2 linked regions of the Callithrix jacchus genome follow. The protein of the gene in region 2 purifies or fractionates together with the protein of the main gene of each other region. This does not show direct contact. Links are inferred from orthologs where the notes say so. Each region holds a gene or a part of one and is shown on either strand. Other genes may lie near its edges.

Region 1 (7,308 bases), on a different chromosome or scaffold from region 2:
CTCACTCCTGGAGGCCGATGTGCGAGCCAGCCACAGCTTCTCTGGCCAAAGCCGTGAAGGCTGAGTGTGTGTGCATGGCGGCAATTCCATTAGCTCTTTTGGTTTCTACATGGTCCCGGGAAGCCACTGGTAGGCCTAAGGTGGCCTACTGGAGGAAGAAATCAGAATATTATTCTTCAGGTTCATAGTCCTACGTGCACACTAGGTACTTAATAACTGTGGATTTGAAAAAGATAAAGAGAGGAGAAAGAAAAAAACGGATCCAAATGGAGAAGGGTGTAACCCTATCAACACGGAACCTCAGGGACAAAGTCAGCCCCTCACAGTGAGGACACTGCCAGCACCTGACTCAGCCCCGTCTGACACAGCCCCTGAGCTGAGGAGGTTCCAAATGCAGTAAGAATATGGGCCTACAGCTGGGCATGGTGGCTCCTGCCTGTAATCCCAGGACTTTAGGAGGCCGAGGCAGGTGGATCACCTGAGGTCAGGAGTTTGAGACCAGCCTGGTCAACATGGTGAAATGCTGTCTCTACTAAAAATATAGAAATTAGCTGGGCGTGTGGTGCGTGCCTGTAATCCCAGCTACTTGGAAGGTTGAGGCAGAATTGCTTAAACCCAGGAGGAGGAGGTTGCACTGAGCTGAAATCATGCCATTGCACTGCAGCCTGGACACCTGGGCAACAAGAGTGAGACTCCATCTCAAAAAAAAAAAAGAAAAGAAAGCAAAAGAATATGGGGTTGACCCAGAGCTTTGCCCAGAAGTTTATGGGGTAGGGAAGTCTCCTACTAGGGAATGCCAGCCAGGAAGTGGGAGGGAAGGCTCACTCTCATCCAGGTTGATATAGTCCTGCCGCTCCTCCTGGTCCCCTGTGCGATGGTTTCGGGAGCGCTGGAGGATGTGAGCCCTGTCCCGGATGTGATGCCCGATGGACATCTGTTCCAGTCCACTGTCTGAATCCCGAACAGTCCTCCGTGTCTCCCGGATCTGGGATGAGGCAGAACATGGTACACTCAGCCACCCCTTCCAAAGCCCTGGCCATCTCAGGATAAACACACCACCCACAACCCAATCCGAAAAAAGCAGCCAGGGTTTCTGTGAGTGCCACTCAATCCCAAGTTCTCTGGGATAGGAGGGCTCACCCCGCCTGGTGCCGAGCGCATCTCTGATGTCTCTTGGTAAACCTTGGGGGCACCATCGCCGGTATTGGAGTAGGAGATGACAGTAGAAGATGAGAAGGTCTGGCAATTGCCTCCAGCTGTCATGTGTTCCTAAGGACAGGGTAGGTAGGGGAGGGCTGAATGAGGAGGCACTTCCCCCCTGGTGAAGGATTTCACCCTTCAGCTCCCTGTTCTAGCCTGTATCTTTCTCACAAAATGTAACAACTGAAAAAACATCAGGACTCATTTTACCCTCCCAAATTCCTCTCAGTCCAATCACAGTCAAGAAGGACCTGAAGAGACAGAGACTTAATTGTATGCTACATAAAAGTGCTGCTGCTGCTTCAGGCAGGCATGACAGCAGATACACGGTCCCCAAGGCTCTCTGCTTCAATTACTTTATCCAGTACTTTACCCTTCACTAGCATTCTGTCTCCCTCTTGCCTTAGAGGGTTCAAGGTGTTGTCAGCCATCACTGAGAGCAAGGCCAGGGAAGGGTGTGGGGCAAGGCTCACCATGTTACCAATCATGTCGTTCATCATCCCAAACATGTCCATGAAGCCACCGGACTGGAGGAAAGAGATGGAACATAGTCAGGAAAGCAAAGTCAGTGTTCAGAGCTGATCCTGTTTAGGAACCCACGAGCCACATGGCTGCACATTTCATCTTCCTTCACATCTAGCAAGTAGTCTTTCTCATTCTCCCTTAACAGAACCAGAATACTCATGTTTCTCCTCCAGTAAGCTGCTGACCCCTCCTCAGTCTCTATGACTGCTCGGATTCAATTTTCCTTTTCCTGCCTTCTGTATTCCCCCCGATCTTTAGGAAGCAAGCCAAAGTTAATGGATTCTAAACTCTAAAGAGATAAGGCAAAGACCAGATTTTGCTAGACAATTACATCTTCCTAATGAGTATGAACTTCTAGGAGTACAAGAGTTAATAACATCTTTTCTTTTTTTTTTTTGAGATGGAGTCTGGCTCTGTTGCCCAGGCTGGTGTGCAGTGGTGAAGTCTCAGCTCTCCGCAACCTCTGTCTCCTGGGTGCAAGCGATTCTCAGCCTCCAGCATAGCTGGGACTACAGGCATGCACCACCATGCCTGGCTTTTTTGGTATTTTTAGTAGAGACGAGGTTTCACCATGTTGGCCAGTCTGGTCTCAAACTCCTGACCTCAAGTTATCAGCCGTCTCAGCCTCCCAACCAGACTTAGTAACACCTTTCGCCAGGTACAGTGGCCTACACCTGTAATCCCAGCACTCACGCCTATAATCCCAGCATTCTGGGAGGCTGAGGCGGGCGGATCACTTGAGGTCAGGAGTTCAAGACCAGCCTGGCCAACATGGTGAAACCCTGTCTCTACTAAAAATACAAAAAAGGGGCATGGTGGCTCTGCCTGTAATCACAGCTACTCAGAGGGCTGAGGCACGAGAATCACTTGAACCTGGGAGGTGGAGGTTGCAGTGAGCTGAGATCATGCCACTGCACTCCACCCTGGGTGACAGGGCAAGATGCTGTCTCAAAAAAAAAAATAATAAAAATAACACCTTTAATCCACAGGGCTCCTAGCATCTAAAAGGCTCAGAGCTTTGTGAACATCATGAAAAGAAGATTCTGGGGTTACCCATGAAACTATGCCAAAGAGGCAAATTTGGGAATAATATCTAAGGGTAGAGAGTGTGTGTGAAATGGAAGGCCCAAGGGAGATGAGGACTCACCATTCCCAGCATCCCAAAGGGGGAGACAGCTCCAGTCTACAGGAACACATGAGGAACAGAAATTAGAGACTTCATCCTATCTCCTTACAATCCCAAACCAGGCCCATGGCCTCAATTTTTGTTTTCCATCCTCTCGAAAGGGAGTCATAAAGCTCTTTTTCCTGACCCTTTCCCCCACTCCTAGAGCATTTCACTTGTTCAGTTAGCTGTAGGGCAAGAAAACTAATGTGCCTTCCTAACCACCCTCCAACCTTTGGGTCTCAGGTGTGTCTCAGCACCATTACCTGCTGCATCCTGCGGCTGGCAGGCCTGGTCCCTGGCATGTTGCCATCTGTGATGCTGAGGAAGGGGCTATATCCAAAGCCACCTGACAACATACGGCTCATATGCTGACGGTGAATAGCAAAGGGGTCCCTGTGAAGTGAGCACATAGTATGGATGGCAGAAGCACCAAGCTGTCAATCCCTCCACCACCCTGCAAAAAAATACGCACAGGGCAACAGTGGCACCAATAGGCTACTTCCTGCTAGGGGGGAGCTGGGTATCCAACCAGTTCCAACCATTCCCAGCAATGGGAACCCAGATGTCTGCCTTAACTGCTCAGAGACCTGGAGTGGGAGAGCTTGAGGGGGAGGGAATACTCACATCAGGAACATGGGATCCTCAGGCTCCACATCCCTCATGAAGCGGAACATCCTGATCTCAGCTCCGGGGAGCTCCACACTGGAAAGGTGTGGAGGCTCAGGTACGTGGAGGTGGCCAGGCTTTTGCACACCCACTCAGTGTAAGGACTCTCCGCACTGGCCTTTCCCAAACCTTGTAACTGACCCTCTAAACTCCGGGGAGACCCTACTACAGGTGTTCCACACAACCCTCTAGGGAGAGAAGAGCTCTTCAAACCTCTCTCTCAATTAGGGCCATGGAAAATTTTTCCAAGCCTCTGGGTTTCTCCCTCCCCCACTCAGTCATCCTCTTCCCAAAGCTCTGGCCGGTTGCATACTCTCCCCTCCTCCCCCAACGTCACCGTTCTAGATAAGAATCCTAAGTGCCGGTCCTCCGTCCCATTAATGACCCCAGTCACCCGCCCCCTCCTTATACCCAGGCCTCCCCCAGGCAGGCCTCACTGTGCCCCCAGCGCCCGTCTGCGGCTCGCCCAGCTCCCGCCTCCCCGGCAGGCGGGCAGGAGAGGTAGGCCTGAGCCTCTCCTCTCCCGGCCCCGCATCCCCGGCTTCCAGACCCTGCAACCCCGCGGGCCCGCTCCCGTCCCTGGCTGCCCGCTCTGCCGGAGCCTCACCAGTGCCCGATTCGGGCTCAGCGGCCCATCCGGCCGGTTTCGCTTCCCGGTGCGCTGCAGGGTCAGGATCGCGGCCCGGGACGCGGGGATTGGTCCGAGCTCGAGCTCTGCGGCCTCCCGCGCCGCCTCTTCCCACAGCTGCCACCTCCGTACCACCCCTCGGCCTACGGAGCAAGAACCTCGGCCAGGCCCGGGCGGAAGTGACGTCATCGTGCAACCGCCCACCCGGGGCCGGGCCGTGGGAGCCCCGCCCACTGGCGTGGGTGGTGAGAAGCCTGTGGCCGCGTCCCAGGGGCGGCGGGGCCGGGGGCTTGGGGCCAAACTCAGGGGAGCGGAGCCTGAGTCCGGGCGGGGGTTCCCTTTGCACGAGTAAGGGGAGCTCATTAGTAACCTGGATTTGGGTTCTGTGCACTGGAAGAGGCTCCCAAAGGCTCGGGGGGAAGGAGAAGAGGAATCTATTCCTCGGGAGGGACCGAGTTGGGGGTTGAACTTGGGGGCGCAGTGCAGCACGTTCCCTCTCCTTCCTCCAGGGGAAACTGGAGGACGAGGGGCAGGCTCTCTGGGCCACCAGGCGGGGCGGATCCCTGGGGGAAGCTTTAAGCAGACTACTGGAAAAGCGTTCTACCCTGGAGGGAGGATGGGCAGCTTTCCTGCGGGTGAGGCGCTTGGGCCTGTACCCCCTTGAAGAGGAGAGTTCCTGGCAGGGCGGAGTCCCCGGAGTGACGAAGAGGAGGAGGTGAAACTCTCCAGCTCAGATCTGGTTAGGGCTTCAGAAAATCCGATGAGGCAGAGAATCCAGGTTGCGGATTGGCCGCCAGATGGCGCTCCTCGGCCAGGCTGGAACCCGAGGCCCTTGAGAACTGGCTTTGGAGAGGGACTTGGACCCTTCCCCATTACCCATCTGTGAAGGGTTGGACCGGGAAAAGGCTACAGTTCTGAAGTCTATTCGTTTAATGCCAATCTTCCCTTCCTTTTACTCTAATTCTTGCGTCCTCAAGAGCTCCCAGTCCTGCACTGACCTTTCTTGCTTGCTTTCTTAGGTCAAAGGTCTAAAGTTTTTGAGAAGAAAGGAGTGGAGAGCTCAATTAACCTGGATCACCCAGGGGAGGAGCTAAAACGGGACCCAGGAGAGCTGCCTCCAAGGCTAGAGACTGATACTTTGACATACTAAATGTCTTGCATAAATCTGGCTCTGCTGGAGAGAAGGGCCCTCCCACTTGGGGTCAAGGGATTTGGACTGTCTAGCATGGACTTTAACCAGACTCATCCAAACTCCAGCTTTCCCTGTTCTTTACTCTGGCGATTAGCCATATTAGTGCTGTGTGGAGCCTGACCCAAGGAGAAAGACTTGTTTCCAGTAATTCCCTGGGGGAGAAGGAGGGGGTCCCTGGTGACTCAGGAAAAGGTGCTAGGAACAGGGCTTCTCAGGTTTCTTTGGACTTGACCATTATTAAAGAGGAAACAACAATAATAGAGACAGGGAGCAGAGACAGATAATTAAGATCTAAGCTGGCAGGCTGTCCAGTCAAAGGAAAACAGAATACAAGTAAATTTGTTTTTCATTGCTATTTCTGGGGAAGAGACAGCAAAATATTTTATCTTCCAGATGCTCTATCTCTGGACATCCCACCATGCAACTTCCCCTTATCCTCTTCCCCAAACGAAAGCAGTTTGACATGTGAAAAGGAGTTGTTCCTAGTAAAGGTTCTGTGGCTGAAACTTAACTAAGGAGATCCTATCGACTTTTTTTTTTGGTCCTCTTCTCCTCTTAAAGCAAGTTATTTATTGTCCAGCCAATCAACAAATGTTTAAGATTGGCCACGGTGCCTCATGCCTGTAATCACAGCACTTTGGGACGCTGAGGCAGGCGGATCACGAGGTCACAAGTTCAAGACCAGCCTGACCAACAAGGTGAAACCCCGTCTCTACTAAAAATTAGCTGGGCGTGGTGGCACACACATGTAATCCCAGCTACTTAGGAGGCTGAGGCAGGAGAATTGCTTGAACCTGGGTCGCAGAGGCTGCAGTGAGGTAATCATGCCGCTGCACTCCAGCCTGAGTGACAGAGTGAGACTCTGTCTCAAAAAAAAAATTAGCAGGCACCTGTATCCCAGCCATTTGAAAGGCTGAGGCAGGAGAATCACTTGAACCTGGGAGATGGAGGCTGCAGTGAGCCAAGATCACACCACTGCACTCCAGCCTGGGGGATAAAGTGAGACTGTCTCCAAAAAGATAAAAAATAAAAATAAAAAAAGAAAGTTTAATGAGGCTCAGCACTGTCCTAGGTACACTGTATTACGCATACATACAAAAGTATAAGACACAGTCTACCAATTTTTTTTTTTTTTTGAGACAGAGTTTCGCTCTTGTTACCCAGACTGGAGTGCAATGGCACGATCTTGGCTCACCGCGACCTCCGCCTCCTGGGTTCAAGCAATTCTCCTGCCTCAGCCTCCCGAGTAGCTGGGACTACAGGTGCACACCACCATGCCCGGCTAATTTTTGTATTTTTAGTAGAGACAGGGTTTCACCTTGTTTATCAGGATGGTCTCGATCTCTTGACCTCATGATCTACCCGCCTTGGCCTCCCAAAGTGCTGGGATTATAGGCGTGAGCCACCGCGCCCGACCAGTCTCTACCAATTTAAGGCATACAATCTTCTAGCCACCTTTTTCTTTTTTGGTTACCTGTTATTTATTTATTTTTTTTTTTTTGAGACCTCACCATTGCATACCAGCCTGGGTGCCAAGAGTGAAACTGTCTCAAAAAAAAAAAAAAAAAAAAAAAAAAATCTGCCATCAGCGATGTTTACCTTTGAATGGTTTCAAATCATAGTTAGTTTCTAACTATGAAAAACAAAGCTTAAAACCTAGGTTTTGTCCCAGATTAAAAAGAAATTGTTGGCTAGGTGCGGTAGCTCACACCTGTAATCCCAGCACTTCGGGAGGTGGAGGTGGGCCAATCACTTGAGGTCAGGAGTTCCAGACCAGCCTGGCCAACATGTCGAAACCCAGTCTCTACTAAATACACACAAAACATTAGCAGGGCATGGAGGCATGTGCCTATAGTCCCAGATACTTGGGAGGCTGAGGCAGGAGAATCACTTGGACCTAGGTGGCAGAGGTTGCAGTGAGCTGAGATC
Region 2 (7,368 bases):
ATAGCTTTGCCTGTTCTGGTAAGCAAAGAGAATTACTCTTCATGAACAGAATCCTGATCTATTTTGGAGTACCAACTATAAGTCTTTTATTTTAGCCCCAATCTTTTTTGTTTTTTTTTTTTTTTTGAGACAGGGTTTCACTCTATCACCCAGGATGGAGTGCAGTAGTATGATCACATCTCACTGTAGCCGCAACCTTCCTAACTCAGCCTCCCAAGCATCAGGGCCAAAAGGTATGCACCACCACACTCAGCTAATTTTTGTATTTTTTTTAAACAGAGATTGGGTTTCACCATGTTGCCCAGGTTGGTCTCGAACTCCTGGCCTCAAGCAGTCCACTGGCCTCAGCCTCCCAAAGTGCTGGAATTACAGGGGTGTAATTCCAGCCTTAAATGTTTTTGTAGAGACTTAGTCTCACTATGTTGTCCAGGCTAGTCTCAAACTTCTGGGCTCAAGCAATCCTCTCACCTTAGCCTCACAAAGTGTTAGGATTATAGGCATGAGCCACTATGCCTAGCCTTATTTTAGCTTCTTGGCTGCTATAAGGGAAACAGAACTTTGTCAGTGGGAAACAGACATGCAAAAAAACTGAAATCCATTTCTTTTCTCTCTAGAGACACTAAAGCTAAGGAACTAAAACATGCAGCCATTTAAAATGCTGCAACTGTAAAGTCCAACGTCTTAAAAGCTCCTCTCATTTTGCCCCCAGTGGGACTGTGACAATTTAGCAGTAGCAGGACACATTTTAAGCCAAGATCTAAGGAAGGAAGGACTCCTGCTGAACCTCACAAAAACAACCCAAGAGACTCATTACCTCTTGTATCCCTAAATGAACTGGTAGTAGGACTGTAACGAGAGAGGCAGGAACTTGGCCAAAGAACCCTAACCAAGCCAGATAGTAAAAGGGCATTTGTAAGGGATGTTCCTATCACTGCCCTCTGCTATAAGGAATCCAGGAAATATGAAAAACAGAAAACCACCTCCCTCCAAAGCTTCTATATCTCTACCCTATTTTCAGCACTAGAAAATCATATATAAACAAGGCTTTTTCATACTAACAGAGCCTAATGTTTACTATTTTTTCTTTCTCAAGACAGAATTTTGCTCTTGTTGCCCAGGCTGGAGTGCAATGGCACAATCTTGGCTCACTGCAACCTCTACCTCCTGGGTTCAGGTGATTCTCCTGCCTCAGCCTCCTGAGTACTGGGATTACAGGCGTGTACCACTGTGTCCGGCTAATTTTGACATTTTTAGTAGAGACAGGGTTTCACCATGTTGGTAAGACTGGTCTCGAACTCCTGACCTCAAGTGATCCACCTGCCCTGGCCTCCCAAAGTGCTGGGATTACAGGCATGAAGCACTGTGCCCAGCCCCTAATGTTTATTCTTCTAAGGATGTCTGATATGGAAAAAGTTAAAATGATTTTGTTTCATTTATTTTCCTTTTGATTTGTGCACAGAAGCGACATAATAATAAATGTTTATGTCAAAAAGAGTGCTATATATGAGAAATATAAAAATCTGATAAGAATGCATTTTTTTTTTTCCTTTTTTAAAATTTTTGTTTTTTTGAGATGGAGTTTTGCTCTTGTTGCCCAGGATGGAGTGCAATAATCTCCACTCAGGCGTGCACCACCACACTCAGCTAATTTTTGTATCTTTAGTAGAGATGGGGTTTCACCATATTAGTCAGGCTGGTCTCAAACGCCTGACCTCAGGTGATCCACTCACCTCGGCCTCCCAAAGTGCTGGGATTACAGGTGTGAGCCACAAGACCCAGCCTTTTTTCAACTAAAAAAATTTTTTTTCTCTCACTATTTGAACTACAGGAACAACACATGTGTTCATAGTTTAATTTACAGTTATATTTTCTTAGTGACAGATAAAATAATTTGCATTCTGCAATAAATGATGTTAAATGGAATCTCATTGTTACCCAGGTGGGAGTGCAATGGCGTGATCTCAGTTCACTGCAACCTCTACCTTCAGAGTTTAAGCGATTCTCTTGCCTCAGCATCTGGTGTAACTGGAATTAAAGGAGCACACCATTACACCTGGCTAATTTTTATATTCTTAGTAGAGACAGGGTTTCACCACGTTGGCCACTCTAGTCTCAAACTCCTGACCTCAGGTGACCCACCACCTCGGCCTCCCAAAGTGCTGGGATTACAGGTGTGAACTACTGTGCCTGGCCTAATGACATCTTAAATTCCAGGAAATAAAGTAGTTATTAAACTACCTTAAGTAATAAGGTAGTTTACCTTATTTATTTTATTGTACTGCTACCAAATACTATGTTTTGTGTGATGTGGTCACATTATAGCATAACCTATTTTATATAATATGTCTTCAGGTTCATTTACTCCAATTTTATGATAGAATATCCTCTCAGGCTGTGATTGAAGAAATTTATTTGCTTTAGATAGGAGGCTTTGAAATGAAGTCCAAAACAGGGACACTCTGCATCAGAGATTTACAGTGAGCACGATGAGTTTTTAAAGTTACCTATGGCCAAGTCCCCATTTATAATATAAAGAACCACTGAACTCTTTCCAAATACAAGTAAATCTCTACAATTAATTTAGGCTGTCTTCGCTGGGCAGAGTTTTGTCTCCCATTTTGCAACTCCTTAATGATGTATAAGGGTTGATGATGCTTAACTTGCAATATCTAGAAAGAAGTAGGAACAACATGAAAACTCAAAATTAAGAACAAAGACTAGACTCTGGTTTCCTGGCTTCTCTGATATCGCAGGGGCCTATTATGCTTTGTCAGACCTCTCAGCACCCAACAGATGGAGACACTGGCTGTGATAACAGCTTGAAAACTATTCACTGCACCTGAGTACCTCTTATATTTTTAACTTAATCAGATAGTAAAAACTTCAGAATACTGATTTCAGATCTCATGAACTAATTCTACACCGCCACCTCAAATTACGCAGCCTGAAGACATAACGGGCTTGGTATGAAAGATATAAAGTATGTGGGAAGGAGACTGAAGGCACTGTAGTCATCTTGAACAAAAGCATTAGATTAACCTGCAGCTGATGAGAAAAGGGCTCCAAACTTCTAGAACCTTTTTGTCAATTCTGTTTTAGGATTAGAACAAGTATGACTACCCACAACTCTGTTCCAACCCCACTTCCAATAATTTGGCCTAACTGTTGCCAGAATCTAGAGTGTTCTGGAAAACCACTCACTCAGCAGCTCCCTTGGCTAGTACGACTGGCAATCCCGAGCCACTGCGGGTGCTTCGGAGTGCCAACAGCGCCCAAGCAGCTGCCCTCTTCCTTGCTGCTTAAGAAAAGAACAGTGCTGGGAAGGATAAGGAAGGATACGAAGAGGAGTCTCACGTGTATAACACCAGATAAGCCCCTCACTCTTCCTTTTTTCTTCATCATCTTTGACTTCCGGGATAACCAGGGGGCAATCAGGTCAATTACGGAGACACACTCACCTCGAACCCTAGACTAGTGATCGCTGGGGTACAAGTACTAGGGAAAACGGGGTGAGGAAAGCAAAGGTTCTGGAGATGGAAAGTGCAGACAGGCAACAATGCACAGAAGTTAACAAGAGAAAGGCGGGGGTCGGGGGAGATGTAAGGAAGTCGTCATCGACGCCGCGCCGCCTCCCCCACCTCGCATCAGACCTCTGAAATTGCCCTCCGAGACCCGGCCTCTCCTATAAGGACGATCGTCCTCTCCGCTGAAGAACTAGACCATGTCTCAGGTCCTTCACCAGGCGGAAGCGGGAAAGGAAGGCCGACCCCCAAGAGCGCCCCTTAAGGGGGTCCATCCGGCCTTGATCTCAGGTTGTGGGGGGTGTTTGCGGAGGGCGGGGCATCGCCTCAGCAGCTGAGGGCTGCATCACGGCAGGAACTGGGTTTTCCTGAGCCACGGAGCTGCAGTTCGCCCCCTCTACTACCCTGCTACCCGGTTACCTCTTCGCCTCTTCGTCGTCCAGCAGCTCTGGCTCGGTCGCCGCCATTACCACATCGCATTCCGCGGCAGCCGCCATCTTACCGCCGGGACCAGAGAGCTGGGTGGGAGGCAGGCGGTGAAGAGCACTTCCGGTCGGAGCATAGAGCAGCTCAGCGGCGCTGCGCCCAGAAGGGCTCCCTCGGGCTAGTCTACCAGCGAGAGGCTCCGTTTGGGGCCAGAGCGGCCTCCCGCCCCCGGCTGTCCACTGTGGTCTCCGCGCCGGGGCGGGAGCCCACGGACTTTTCCTGTGCGTAGGCGGCGCCACTTTACCCGTGGGTGGGAAGGGGGGTGTACAGGTGGTAGCCTCTCTAGGGCTTGGCTGTTTTCAGTATTTCAAGAGCCTCGTTGCCATAGCAACTTCCAATCCTAGAGAGTCCCCTGAAAGGCTCCAGGGAGTCTGAGTTGGGTGGGGACCAGGTGACCCAGGATTCTGGAGGGAGAGTCCCCACTGCTACCTTTCCGACCTTGGAGTGTGTCCACGGCTTCTTCCCGGCAAAGGCAAGAGACACTCTGAGCCCAGTTCCCCGAGCTTTCATCGTTCTCTGGAAGCCCTGCCCAACCAAGCCAGGGGAACGCAGGGCGTCCTCACCCTGCGCCTTTCATCCACTCCGGATCACCAAACACCAGCTGGTTCATCACCCTAAGGACGCTGACCCTTTTACGAGGCTGCTTTCATGTCAGCCACCTGGGAGTGCCATCTCAGCATTAAGCCTAGGAAAGCTGGACACATGGCGCCCCAGACTCTGCCCTGGAGTTTATAAGGAAGCTCGAGGGATGAGGTCCCCGCTTCTTGTGTCCTCAGTACTCCCACCTCTCATATAAACTTTCATCACGCTGGTCTTGCCGAATGCGGTCTGGATTGAGAACTCATAGGGGACAAGAGCACAGTTTAATTGTCTTTGTTGTCATTCCCTCACCCAAACCTCTATTTGTGGAGCTAAATTAAATTGGAGCTTTCTGGGGTCAAATTGGAGGAATATGAGGAGTAGTTTTACAATGTAAAGAGGGTAGCTAAAATAAAAAGAGGGCAAAGGAATTTTAAAACGATTTACCTGTTTTCCTCCAGGAAAACAGCATGTGCCAATGCACCTACCCTGCCTATCCCAGAGGGAGCTGTGCCCTTGTACCCTATGAGTTCTCAATCCAGACCACAGCGATCACTGAGTAGGGAGGGATGGGACAAGCTCGCTAGGTTGGAAAGGAGGGGTCATTTGTTTAGCCAGTCACTCAGTATCCCTTTCCAAAATGCCTACTCTGCTAGGTTGGGAGGGCACAAGATTCACAGACCACCTGCCCTGCCTGCCAGTGGCTTAAAGTTCAGTCTAATGCTAGCCAACCTATCTTGCTATCTTCCCACTTCATGTTCTATCTGAGGCAACTCATTTATTCCCACAGCTTTAATTCCGTCTGTTGATGATCTCAACCCTTGATATCTCCAACCTAAACCTTTCTTCAGGTTCCATAGCTGTATATCCAACTATCTACTGGATATCTCTTGTTTGTTTCACACATCCCCAAGGCTTACCATATTTAAGTTGAACTTTTCATTCTCTACCCACACCTCAACAACAGAAAAAACAAATGCTATATGTAATTATTATCTTTCCTGAATTTCGTATCTTGTTAAATGGATTAAACTCACTCACCTGGCCACTATATGAGAAGGATGGAAGCTATGAACTCCTCCCTCTGTCTCACGCTTGGCTTCCAATGTGTTGCCAAGTTTTGTTGATTTTCCTACCAAATATTTCCCAAATCTATCTCCACCTTTCCATCCTGATTCAGGCTCTCATCGTTTTTAAAAATCTTGGAATAGGCTGGGTGTGGTGGCATGTGTAGTCCCAGCTACTTTGGAGGCTGAGACAGGAGGATCACTTGAGCCCAGGGGTTTGAGGCTGCAGTGAGTTATGATCACACCAATGTACTCTAGCATGGACAAAAGAGCAAGACCTTGTCTCAAAAAAAAAAAAAAAAAAAAAAAAAAAAAAAAACGACAACAACAAAACAACAGCAAAAACAAAAAACTTGGAATACAGCAGTAGTCTCCTAATTGGTCCCTAGTTTCATCTCTGTCCAGTCTTCCCTCTTCTGCCAGAGTGATCTTCCTCAAGGACTCATGATGTCACTTCATTGGCAGTGGCTTTCCATGACCATCAATTTGATCTCTTTGGCCTACTACACAAGGCCTTTGATTATTTGTTTATTTTTTTTAATGACCTGAGTACCAATATTTAGGTCCTTCCTACCACCAATAATGAACTCAAGTCATCATAGTTCCAGAAAATTCCATGACTGTAGCCATGTTTCCTCCACCCTAGAATACCCTTTCCCCCAAGCCCTTCAATGTCCGCTGACCCAAAGTTAAATGCCCCTTTGCTGTGCCCCATAGCATCTCAGTAATTGTTGGGTAGACATGTAGCTTCTCTAGACCGTGAGTTCTGATCGGCAGCCACCATGTCTAACTCGTCCACCTTCTCTCAGTATATGGCCCTGTACCTGGCACAGACAGAGAAGATGCTCAGAAAACATTTGACGAATAAGTGGTTGAGTAAACGAAGACTAACTGTACTCTGATCGCCTTTAGAGAGAGCATATTTGGGTCTCAGAGACACCAGAACATCGGCCCACCTCCATGGAGCCTAGAACCTTGGGCTCCCGCGCACACCCAGGCCAGATCCTGGCCGTCATTCCCCCGCCGGTCTCTCGGGGGAGCTGCGCGGCACTCGCCTGCTCTTCGTGCCGGAATTCGTCTTGCCTGACGGAAGCTGGGGGGGCGGGCAGGCGGCGGGGGCGGGGCCCAGCGGAGCCTACCCCGGCCCGGGAGGAAGACTGGAGCCTTTGCGGCGGCGCTGTCCCTCCCCTGGTTCCCGCGCGCTCCGAGGGTCCGGCTGGTGCTGCGGGGGCCGCAGGAGGTACGGAGCTAGGAGGCGAGGCTCGTCGGGTGCTGGGATTGGCCTCCGTCTCCGGTCCGCTTTTGCTAGCTGGTCTCTGCCTCTCATTCCCTCTGGGGGCTCCCCCGTGGGAAAATATGTGGTGACGGTCCCTCTGGCCCACTCTTGTGGTGTCCTTTATTGTGGGGCTCACTATATGGAGAGGGAGGTCTGTGTCAGGAGCTTCCCCTGGAGAGGTTTCTGTTTGGGACCGTCTTTGGGAGTGGTCTATCTCTACTCTTTGGGGGATCTTTGGAGTTGTTGGGGGGGGCTTGTGTTTGGAAGTTTGCCTTCGGGGAGATATCTATCTGGGACCTCTCAGGGTTTCTGTGTCTGAGCTTTCTCTTCTGGGTCTATCGGTCCAAGAGCAGCAAAAAGTATCTCCTTTCTGAAGCCTTTTTTTTCCTTAGATTTTTTTTCACTCTCTTCTCTTTTGTCTGATGTTCATCTTAGTCTT

Evidence for each region.
Region 1: the proteins of DNAJC7 (region 2) and MLF2 purify together in Homo sapiens (affinity purification with mass spectrometry; 3 studies listed by BioGRID and IntAct, with this or other methods). This does not show direct contact. The link is inferred for Callithrix jacchus from reciprocal best matches to the Homo sapiens genes DNAJC7 and MLF2.

Annotation. Positions count from the first base shown.
Region 1 is NC_133510.1:21,021,142-21,028,449, forward strand, and holds the start of MLF2 (myeloid leukemia factor 2), read right to left. Parts: upstream 4,321-7,308; 5' UTR 4,167-4,320; intron 3,596-4,166; 5' UTR 3,568-3,595; coding exon 3,518-3,567; intron 3,287-3,517; coding exon 3,157-3,286; intron 2,909-3,156; coding exon 2,873-2,908; intron 1,728-2,872; coding exon 1,674-1,727; intron 1,270-1,673; coding exon 1,141-1,269; intron 986-1,140; coding exon 826-985; intron 1-825.
Region 2 is NC_133506.1:91,211,029-91,218,396, reverse strand, and holds the start of DNAJC7 (dnaJ homolog subfamily C member 7), read right to left. Parts: upstream 4,034-7,368; 5' UTR 4,019-4,033; coding exon 3,942-4,018; exon of another isoform or gene 3,628-3,941; intron 3,584-3,627; exon of another isoform or gene 3,459-3,583; intron 1-3,458. Other genes in the region: NKIRAS2 (NF-kappa-B inhibitor-interacting Ras-like protein 2), read left to right, coding at 6,614-6,893. UniProt on the Homo sapiens protein: Acts as a co-chaperone regulating the molecular chaperones HSP70 and HSP90 in folding of steroid receptors, such as the glucocorticoid receptor and the progesterone receptor.